2 linked regions of the Nothobranchius furzeri genome follow. The protein of the gene in region 1 interacts with the protein of each later gene in a pairwise test. Links are inferred from orthologs where the notes say so. Each region holds a gene or a part of one and is shown in the gene's direction. Other genes may lie near its edges.

Region 1 (4,951 bases):
ACATCAGAGTAACTTCAGGTAACATCAGGTAACAGAGTAATATCAGTGTTACATCAGCTAACATCAAGTAACATCAGGGTAACATCAGGGTAACATCAGAGTAACATCAGGTAACATCAGATAACATCGGAGTAACATCAGAGTAACATCAAAAACATCAGGGTAACATCAGAGTAACGTCAGGGTAACATCGGAGTAACGTCAGGGTCACATCAGAGTAACATCAGGGTATTATTTGGGTAACAGAGTAACATCAGGTGACAGAGTAACCCCCAAATTCCACTACCTCCGCCCCCGCCCTCCGCAGCCGCTCGCTTCCGAACTCAATTTTTACTGCTACCCGCTCTACAACGGCTCCGCTCCGGTGCGGAGACCTGAGGTGGGCAAATAAGCATGCGCAGGATTTTCGAGATCTTGCGATACAGTCCGAGCAATAAACGCGGAAGTTAGATCCAAACACCCGTTGTTTGGGAGAAGCATCGAAATGAACTGTTTAATCTGCCCATCATTTGTGTTGAGAGATCAGCAGTGTTTGGATCAACAAAGTGTGACTACTTTGATAGTGGAAACTGTATTTATGGCTTACTTTTGTGCATTTAAACTTCAGCCGCCACTGATAGTTGTTAAAAGTTGTTAAACCTGTGCATATGAAACAAAAAACGCCTTTTGTTTATCGATGTATTGTGAAAAACGGAAATTGTGCTTGCTCCTTTTCCTGTTGGACGGTTGTGATTTCTGTCCATTTACTGCGGAGGTGCTTCGGCGTCCGGCAAAAATAGGATCGATTCTATTTTTGCCGGACGCCGGAACAGAGGGCGGCGCACGGCGCCGCACTGCCGGAGCACGGCCGCAGTAGTGGAATTGCTCTGATTGACTACAACGGGACCGATGTTGCTCCGGCTTTCGTGTCGGAGCGGAGCGCAGCGGAGCGGAGGTAGTGGAATTTGGGGGTTACATCTGGTAACATCAGAGTAACGTCACGGTAACATCAGGTTACATCAGATAACATCAGAGTAATGTCAGAGTAACATCGGGGTAACGTTAGGGTAACGTCAGGGTAACATCAGAGTAACATCAGGTAACATCAGAGTAACATCAAGTTAACATCAGAGTTACATGAGAGTAACATCAGGTAACATGAGGGCAACATCAGGTAACATCAGAGTAACATCAGGTAACATCAGAGTAACATCAGGTAACAGAGTAACATCAGATAACTTCGGGGTAATATCAGAGTAACATCATGTTACATCAGAGTAATATCAGAGTAACATTAGGTAACATCAGGGTAACATCGGAGTAACATCAGATAACATCGGAGTTACATCAGGGTAACATCAGAGTAACATCAGGGTAACATCAGGTAACTTCACAGTAATGTCTGAGTAATGTCGGGGTAACATCAGAGTAACATCACATAACATCGGAGTAATGTCAGAGTAACATCGGGGTAACGTCAGGGTAACATCAGAGTAACATCACGGTAACACCAGGGTAACATCAGGTAACATCAGGGTAACATCAGAGTAACATCAAGGTAACATCAGAGTTACATGAGAGTAACATCAGGGTAACATCAGGTAACATGAGGCAACATCAGAGTAACATCAGATAACATCGGAGTAACATCAGAGTAACATCAGGTTGCATCCGAGTAATATCAGAGTAACATTAGGTAACATCAGAGTAACATCAGGTAACATCGGAGTAACATCAGGGTAACATCAGGGTAACATCAGAGTAACATCAGAGTAACATCAGGTAACTTCACAGTAACGTCAGAGTAACGTCGGGGTAACATCAGCGTAACATCAGGGTAACATCAGAGTAGGGTTGTCACGGTAATCGGTGTAGCGGTAAACCCCGGTAAAAAAGTTGACAATAATAATAACGTCTTGTTTTTAAAAAACTATATTATCTCGGTGGGTTTACCGCGGCTGAGGTGTAGGCGCGGTGACCCTTACCAGCCACCGTATCATCTGCTGAAGTTGCTGGCGGCACATGCGCGCTTTGTTGTTTACAACCAAAACCTTCTTGAAGCTAAAGCTGAAATAATGGCCAAAGGAGGAGACGGCAGCGTTCAGGACATTTATTATCCTTTAAAGAAGACAAAGTGGGAAGTACGGGCATTTTTTGGATATTTGAAGAATGCCGAGGGACAGTTTATAGAAGACGGCTATCCTTTTTGCAGCACGTGCAGAAAAAGTGTTTGTGAAAGGCAGGAACGCTTCAAATCTCATGACACATCTGCGTGACCATCACCCACAACTCTACAGTCAACGCGAGGCAAGTTAACGTTAGCGTTTTAGCTAAAATGCCTGATCCGAGGATTTGGGTTGAGGGAGAATGCAACAAGTCGCTATATAAAGCAGCCGCAGCGCCGCTACCTGCATATAAACCGTGTCACGGACACCCCCATGTTGAAATGACGCTATGCATTACGGGGCTCCCAGGGGCAGATAAGAGTTGGTCTCTCTCCAAGAATAATTATGAATTTAACAATGATTACCGCCTGATGACATTTTCCCACATCTGCAAAGCTCACTGGAAGGACACAAACCGAGGACAATATTTTCCTGATATAGGGTTTATTACTCAAGTAAGGGTAAAAAAGTATCTGATTAGAAGGCTGCTTGAGTACTGAGTATCATCTGGTCTAATATTTTTAAAATGATGACATCAAACAGACAACAAATAAGAAGTTATGGGCAAATATTGGTATTTTAAAGACTAAAGGGGAAAAATGTAAACAAATAACATAATTACAAAATAACACATTTTAGGCAAAATTTAGACACAAACTGAGGACAATATTTTCCTGATATACAGGGTTTATGTAGTTATCTGAAAATGTAACATGTTTAAAAAAATACCACAATAATACCGAAAACCATGATACTTTTGGTCACAATAACCGTGAGGTAAAATTTTCACACTGTGACAACCCTCCATCAGCGTAACATCAGGGTAAAATCAGAGTAACATCAGGGTAACATCAGTTAACATCAGATAACATCAGAGTAACATCAGAGTAACATCGAGTAACAGAGTAACATCTGGCAATATCAGAGTAACATCAGAGTAACAACAGATTAACATCAGGTTACATCAGATAACATCGGAGTAATGTCAGAGTAACGTCGGGGTAACGTCAGGGTAACTTCAGAGTAACATCAAATAACAGAGTAACATCAGAGTAACTTCAGGTAACATCAAAGTAATATCATTGTTACATCAGGTAACATCAAGTAACATCAGGTAACATCGGAGTAACATCAGGGTAACATCATGGTAGCATCAGGTAACTTCAGAGTAACGTCAGAGTAACGGTGGGGTAACATCGGAGTAATGTCAGGGTAACATCAGGGTAACATCAGAGTAACATCAGGGTAACATCAGAGTAACATCAGGTTACATCAGATAACATCGGAGTAATGTCAGAGTAACATCGGGGTAACGTTGGGGTAACGTCAGGGTAACATCAGCGTAACATCAGGGTAACATCAGAGTAACATCGGCGTAACATCAGGGTAACATCAGAGTAACCAACTCTGATGTTACTCTGATGAAGACCAAATAAGTGTCGAAATGTTAGTATCTCGTTTGCATCCATTAAAACTTTTTTTCTCACTTTGAGGGCTCCAGCCGTCCTCTGTTTTCTGAAGAATTCTATATGTTCTAAGTGATTTTGATGTCTTTTCTCTTTTGCTGCTGTTTTGTTTTTTGGGCAGGACCTGAAGAGAAGTGCAGCACCAGTGACCACGGCAGTGCCAGCATCAGGAAGTCCAGACACATCCGTGCCAGGTATCAGCTCAGTCTGATCATCAGGAATGAATTATCAATTTCAGATCCGAGCATCTGTGAGAGTTACCTAAAAGCCTCAGAATTATAATAACGATAATTTGGGTTGCTATTCGCTGAGTTTGTTATGTTTGGTATTTTCACAGATTTTGTTTATTTAAAATCACTTATGAAATGTTTTAATTGAGAAACTGAACATAATGTGGCTGCTTCAGCTGTTTACGCCTGATTTTACAGGCAGTCCAGGTTCGGCTGATCCCATGTTGGAAGCTATCATCCAGGAGAAGCTAAAGGGGATCAGCAGAGAGGCTTCTGACAGGAATGACAAGTACAGAAAGTGCAAGCAGATGCTGTTTGTAAGACTTTAAAAAATAGATTTTTGTTCATTTAGTTCAGAGTGAAAATGTGTCAAACTAAACGCTCAACGCCTGTCCTTCTGTAGGAGGAAAAGGAGCGTAGTGGCATGTTTGCTGATGAATTGGCCAAGTTGGAGCTGAAGTTCAAGGAGCAGCTGAAGACTAATGAGAATCTGAAGCTGCAGCTGGCAGAAGCAGAAGATCGTTACAAGGTGGGAGCAGCCGGTGTGCTGACGCTTAGCTTAGCTCAGGCTGATGGCAACGTTCTGGTATCTTCAAAGCAGCTCTGTCTGAGTGTTTTTACCAGCGAGTAGGGCTGCTCTAGCTCAGGGATGGGGACTTTGATGCTATCTCCTCTTGAACACAGCTACTCTGACAGTGTTGTTTATGAGCAGGCCTGTCTGCATGTTGACCTTTTACTGCTGTTTATGTCAGACTGGAGACGAGTAAAGCTCGGCTTGGAGGAGTCCTCTCTAGATGTGCAGCTAATGCTGGGCTTGGCTCAGGTCAGGCGGATATTTGCTTAATGTCTCAGCAGGAATTCAAACAGGTTGTTTTGCTTTGAGCCGTATTGTGCATAAATCAGACTTTTGCTAAAAGGAAGCCGTTTATGGCTGGGATCAGTTACCCCAAGCTCCGACTGTATTTCAGGCACACAGTTTTCAATCAGCGGCACGATACGTCTGAAGACTTGGTTAGAAACCGTTTTCCCATTCCTCTGTTTTTGTGTCTGTTTGCTGCAGAGCCAGGTAGCTGAGAAAGGACGGGAGCTGAAGGAGCTGAAGGACACTCTT
Region 2 (4,951 bases), on another chromosome or scaffold:
TTTTCTTAATTTCTCTACAGGATATTCATGACTGCTACCTGGATCTCTTCCAAACACACCTTCATTTTGTCTCAAACAACACCACTGGACTAACATACCAGGTACTTTCCATCCCTCCGATCCACGCTATTTTAGGAGCTCTTTCATGAGTTTTATAGGTTTCGTATCATGTAATCTTTTGTAATCCTAATTTTTGACTCGCATCCCGCCTACCAGAACTTTTATTTGGTGCACAGAAAGTATGATTAAGTTTCGTCAGCTGTCTCGTAACCTTTTAGAAGTGCCGTTAATCATCATTTCACTGCTCTCCAGAGCTCAGCTTCATGTTAAAAAGAGACAACGAAGCACCTGTGTGTTAGTCAGACTTCAGATTACCTCAAAACTAAGACAGACAGGGATACATCACTGATTTATGAGTCCTTGTCAAACTCGCTTGTTTTGTTTTTGGTGAACACAACTCTAGAGTTCAATCTTCATTTTAAACGCTAAGAGAGAGGATTGATGCGAATAAGTTCTAAATTTGTAAATATTCCCATCTTAAAAAGTGTAAATTGATTTTTTTTCCCCACAGGGGACTCTTCCACTGAAAGAGCTCACCATCTCCAACCTGCAGCAGAACTGCAACCACAGCCAACCTCAGGAATATGCCTTCCAAATAAACGGTGAGAAAAAATAAATCATGCACACAAAAACTGTGTGGGTGTTGGCGCACAGCGCTGGTATTTTATAATTGTCAGTTTTGTTTTATTGGCTCTGCTGAGTTTGTATAATCAGTCTTTCCGAATAAAAATCCAGAGTGTCTATGTCGGGGTCTGATTTAAACAGCCAAAGCTGGATGACTGTGGGCGCGGAGGCTGAATTCTCCTTCTGTAATAAGTATAAGTGTCATTGTTTTGTAGCCATTGATGGTGTGTCTAATCTGTCATTAGTTAAAGTAAAAAAAAAATCTATTAAAAATGCCACACTATTTCACGGTTTTGGCATTTCCTGCTTGTGTTATCACGTTTCAACGACCCTCTTCACCTTTTCACCTCCCGTCTGACCCAAGACCGACTAAAGCCGGGCCTCCGTCCCCTCCGGTCGGGGGGTAAACTAGCTTTTAAAAGCTTGTTAGACAACAGGTGCATCTCTGCGAACCCAGCTGTCGCATAGAAAAGCCCGGCTATCGCTCTTCGTCTCGTCAAAGAGTATAATCCATGGTACATTCAACAGATCTGGTCTGTGTCCTTTATGAATGAAAAAAAGTTTTTGATCTTTAACTTAATTGAACAAATCCCCATATTTCTTTATTAAATATTAAAAGCTTTAAACTGAATCCAGAACTGTGTACAAATAACTCCTGTTTATCTTTACATTCCCGCTGAAGTCCCTGCTGTCACAACGTTGGCCCTCATTGGTGTTCCTTTGTTGGGATTTGTGTTTGCGAGGTTCCCAGCTCTACTTTGTTAGTTTTTGGCTTCACGTTTCCTCTTTTCCTATTCAAATACGAAGTCTCATTTGCCTTTTGGGAGGCATCACTGACAGGAAGTTGAATAAAAATCTGAGTCAAATGGAAGATATGTAGTGGATGTTTCCCCTCTGAGATGAGTGGTGGTGAGTTAGATGGTGACGAAGCACACACGATTCAAGAGGATGTTCGAGAATTCCCGGAAGCTCCCACATAATCTAGATAAACGTGGTTGTAAACGTAGGTTAATAATGAATAATTGCTTTTAACAATAGCTTGTGGCCCCTGTGAACTAACTGGAGGTTTAAATGAGTTTTCATTGGCTGGATTTCTACTGAGAAAACTAAACTTTTTAAGGAGTGAAAGAATTTATAGGAATGGTTACGGGCACGGTCCCTAATGAGGATCTGGCCTGAAAAACGGAGAAGTCAACATTTGGGCTTCGGTAGATTATTAGAGTACAAAGCCATAAACTGGAATGAAATCAAATGCTGGTTATCTTTGGTATGTGTGGGACTGATGGGTGGAGGGAGATTGCAGCTCTCATCATCCCGACTCCGTCTATTCCCTCTGATCTGTTTGCTATGAGGCCGCAGGTCAGTGAGGGATCCACATCTGGTTTACTGTTCTGAACATGTGTTAGCATTTATTGCACTTGTTGCGTAACATGGTGTAAACAAATAAACTCTGTGCTAACATAACAGAAAAGATTTTTTAAAAAGACAGATAACGACTCTTTCTCTGCATGCCTTTGTAACCTTTGAACCCTGCAGGTGTCAGCTTGAATCCCATCATTGTCTACTACGGCAGCCAGGAGGAGATGGACCTGTGGTTCAGCCTGCTCACAGAAAACATCGAGGTGAACGGAGGTTCTGCTACCACGCCTGAAACCTGCACCAGAGTGAGAGTAAGTCTAATGAGAGCTGTCTAATTTCTTTTTGTGTTTGCCACACCGGGATCAATTCAAACATCTCATTTCAAAACTCGATCGCATGTTTGATTCCGCCTGGCACATTAGCCTCATTTCCAGCCGCTCCTGATAAAACAGGATGTGTGACTGTGTAAATACAGTGAGTAATGATCACTGCGTGCTTCTGCCTGAATGCTAGGGAGAGATCTGGACCACATCATAACACATATTTCTGTTCATCTGGCGGTGATACTGTCTAACTTCTGTGATCTGATGTGTATCTACAGATGAACCAGAGCAAAGGTCACATTGGAAGAGTGGACCTGAGGAAGTCTATCAACAGAGAGCCCATCTATGAGTGGGAGGGCTCTCAGCGGGACAGCTTGGGCCCCATCACCTACGTCACCAAAGTCCGACTGCAGCACCTGCCCTGTCAGGTATGACGTCACAGCTGCTTCTCTCACCACCCCCAGACCTCTTACCAAACTTTGGAAACCCACAGCGTAACAGGCTGTCACTCATAATGCTAATGTGTTTTCAAAGCCGTGGGAACTTTTTCTCACGATAAATAAAAAGCAGGATAATATCAGTGCTCTAAATCCAGGTGACTCACATGGTTTTTCACATTGTGCAATGCATTACCTCAACACAGTGCAAGGAGAGAAAAGGGTGGTGTCCATGTTTTATAGCAAATTACTCTCTTCCGGTTGTTTATCTATACAGCGTGTTTTATTCTCACGTTGCACCACAGAGTCAGAGATGCATAAACCAACTGAGTGAAATATTCAACCCCATCGAATGAAATCAAGCAAGATCCCTGTGAATGATGCCAAAACAAGCCGTTAATCAACACTGTAATCATGACATGCCTTTGCAGGGATATCTGTTAATTCTTTATGAGAAGCAGCGGCATATCTATTGATGTGATTTAGTGCCTTGGGCGTGTGAGAGGCATTCGCTCGGCTCACACAGCGACTCAACTCACCTCACGGCTGGAATGTCAGCTGTCTGTTCAGACACACCCCACAAGAGAGAAGAAACATAAACTCTGGATCTGCTGCACCTTCAAAAGTCTCACAAACTGGTTCGACCTCTGCGGGGTTTAAAGCGTGCCTCTCAACGCAGAATTAAAAGATAAATCCTGTGCTTTTTTAAAAACTCGCTCCGGGTCTCATGGTTCACTCTGTGCCTTGTCTTGTGGTTTTATCTTTCCCTGAAGTTATCAGGGCTCACTTTCTTTTCCATGAAAGGTACTTAGGTACCGTTTATCTTTGGAGTTGGCCTCAGAGTAAAAACAACTGATAACAGTGTTCAGGTTGAGAAACACTTTTAGAAAACTGGAATTACGTGTACTTTAGAGTTTTATACTTGATAATAAAAATAAAAAAAATCACAGAATGGTGTGTTATCTAAAACGTGTACATGCTGTCATCATCTTACATGTTCAGGAGAAGAGTGACAGATTGCTGGTGATGTACCCATCCACCCTGATCATCCTATCAGAGGAAAGCGACAGGCTCTTCTATAAGGTGCAGCAGACCGTCCTTTACTGTCAAACCTGGATTATGTGAGTAGTATTAAAGATTTACTCTGATTACAGGGCAAACTTCCACTCAACATGATTACCGTCACCACTCCCTGTCAGGACGTCAAGCCCAACACCTTTAAGATTGAAGGTAAGAACAGTGAATCACGTTTTCTTCTGAAAACACTCAATAAGAAGCACACACTCCCAAGTGCCTTTGAGTGACCTCCCTCTTGGAACTGCTGCCGTCATAGAACGAAGCCCCTCTATGAATGGGAGGGTTTTATCCTTACTAAAGCACATTCCAGCGAGCAAGCAGACCAAATGACACCCTTTGTTTACCCCCCCCCCCCCCAGGCAAAATGATCAACCCCATAGTGGTGTCCTGTCTGGATAGGACCGAGTTCTGTGACTGGATCCAGCATTTCAAAGCTGCTGACGTGCCTGTTGTCAGCCCCCCGCCCCCGGTGTATGACATCATCTACACCCCTACGAACACAGAGGTGAGGGCTGTTCCCTTTTACTTTCACCGCGTAAGTGTGATGATGTCACTGTTCACAGCTGTTGATGATTTACAAAAGGATGGTCCCGTCCCCCCCCCCTTTGATCTTAGCCTGCACGACGCCCTGCAACAGTCTGCTCATGTACATGAAGCCGGTGTTTGTTAGAATGAATCCCTGAACGTGCAGCCCGTCACACTTCACACCTACACTCCAACTCAGCTCTGTGACTACCACCTTTACTGGTTTAGAGCCTAAACAGCACCCCTTCTTTCTGCAGACATTTGACACACAACACTGAAATGAGAAGAAGGTGTTTCCGTCTCTTGGGTGTCTTGTGTGAAATGAACTATAGATATGCTTTACATGTACGTGCCAATTATGTCGTATAGGAGTAAATGAATCGTATACCCAAAGGTATGTGTCATCTGTGAACCTAAATCCAGTCTGGGTCATATTTAATCCGAGGCACCAAGGATCTCAGTTGAACTTTTCTGGCCTTTCCTCGTTTGTCAGAATTTCATCAAAACCTCCAAAAGACAAACTTGGAAAAGTTCTGCTGGCATTTT

Evidence for each region.
Region 2: the proteins of tax1bp1b (region 1) and plekhn1 interact in binary tests that used the Homo sapiens proteins (3 or more experiments, as listed by UniProt). The two-hybrid records come from large-scale screens. The link is inferred for Nothobranchius furzeri from reciprocal best matches to the Homo sapiens genes TAX1BP1 and PLEKHN1.

What each region holds. Positions count from the first base shown.
Region 1 is NC_091757.1:59,004,290-59,009,240, reverse strand, and holds part of tax1bp1b (tax1-binding protein 1 homolog B), read left to right. Parts: intron 1-3,731; coding exon 3,732-3,804; intron 3,805-4,038; coding exon 4,039-4,157; intron 4,158-4,243; coding exon 4,244-4,369; intron 4,370-4,900; coding exon 4,901-4,951.
Region 2 is NC_091755.1:28,957,988-28,962,938, forward strand, and holds part of plekhn1 (probable pleckstrin homology domain-containing family N member 1), read left to right. Parts: intron 1-20; coding exon 21-101; intron 102-571; coding exon 572-662; intron 663-2,220; coding exon 2,221-2,354; intron 2,355-2,644; coding exon 2,645-2,794; intron 2,795-3,805; coding exon 3,806-3,886; intron 3,887-3,957; coding exon 3,958-4,033; intron 4,034-4,239; coding exon 4,240-4,385; intron 4,386-4,951. UniProt on the Homo sapiens protein: Controls the stability of the leptin mRNA harboring an AU-rich element (ARE) in its 3' UTR, in cooperation with the RNA stabilizer ELAVL1.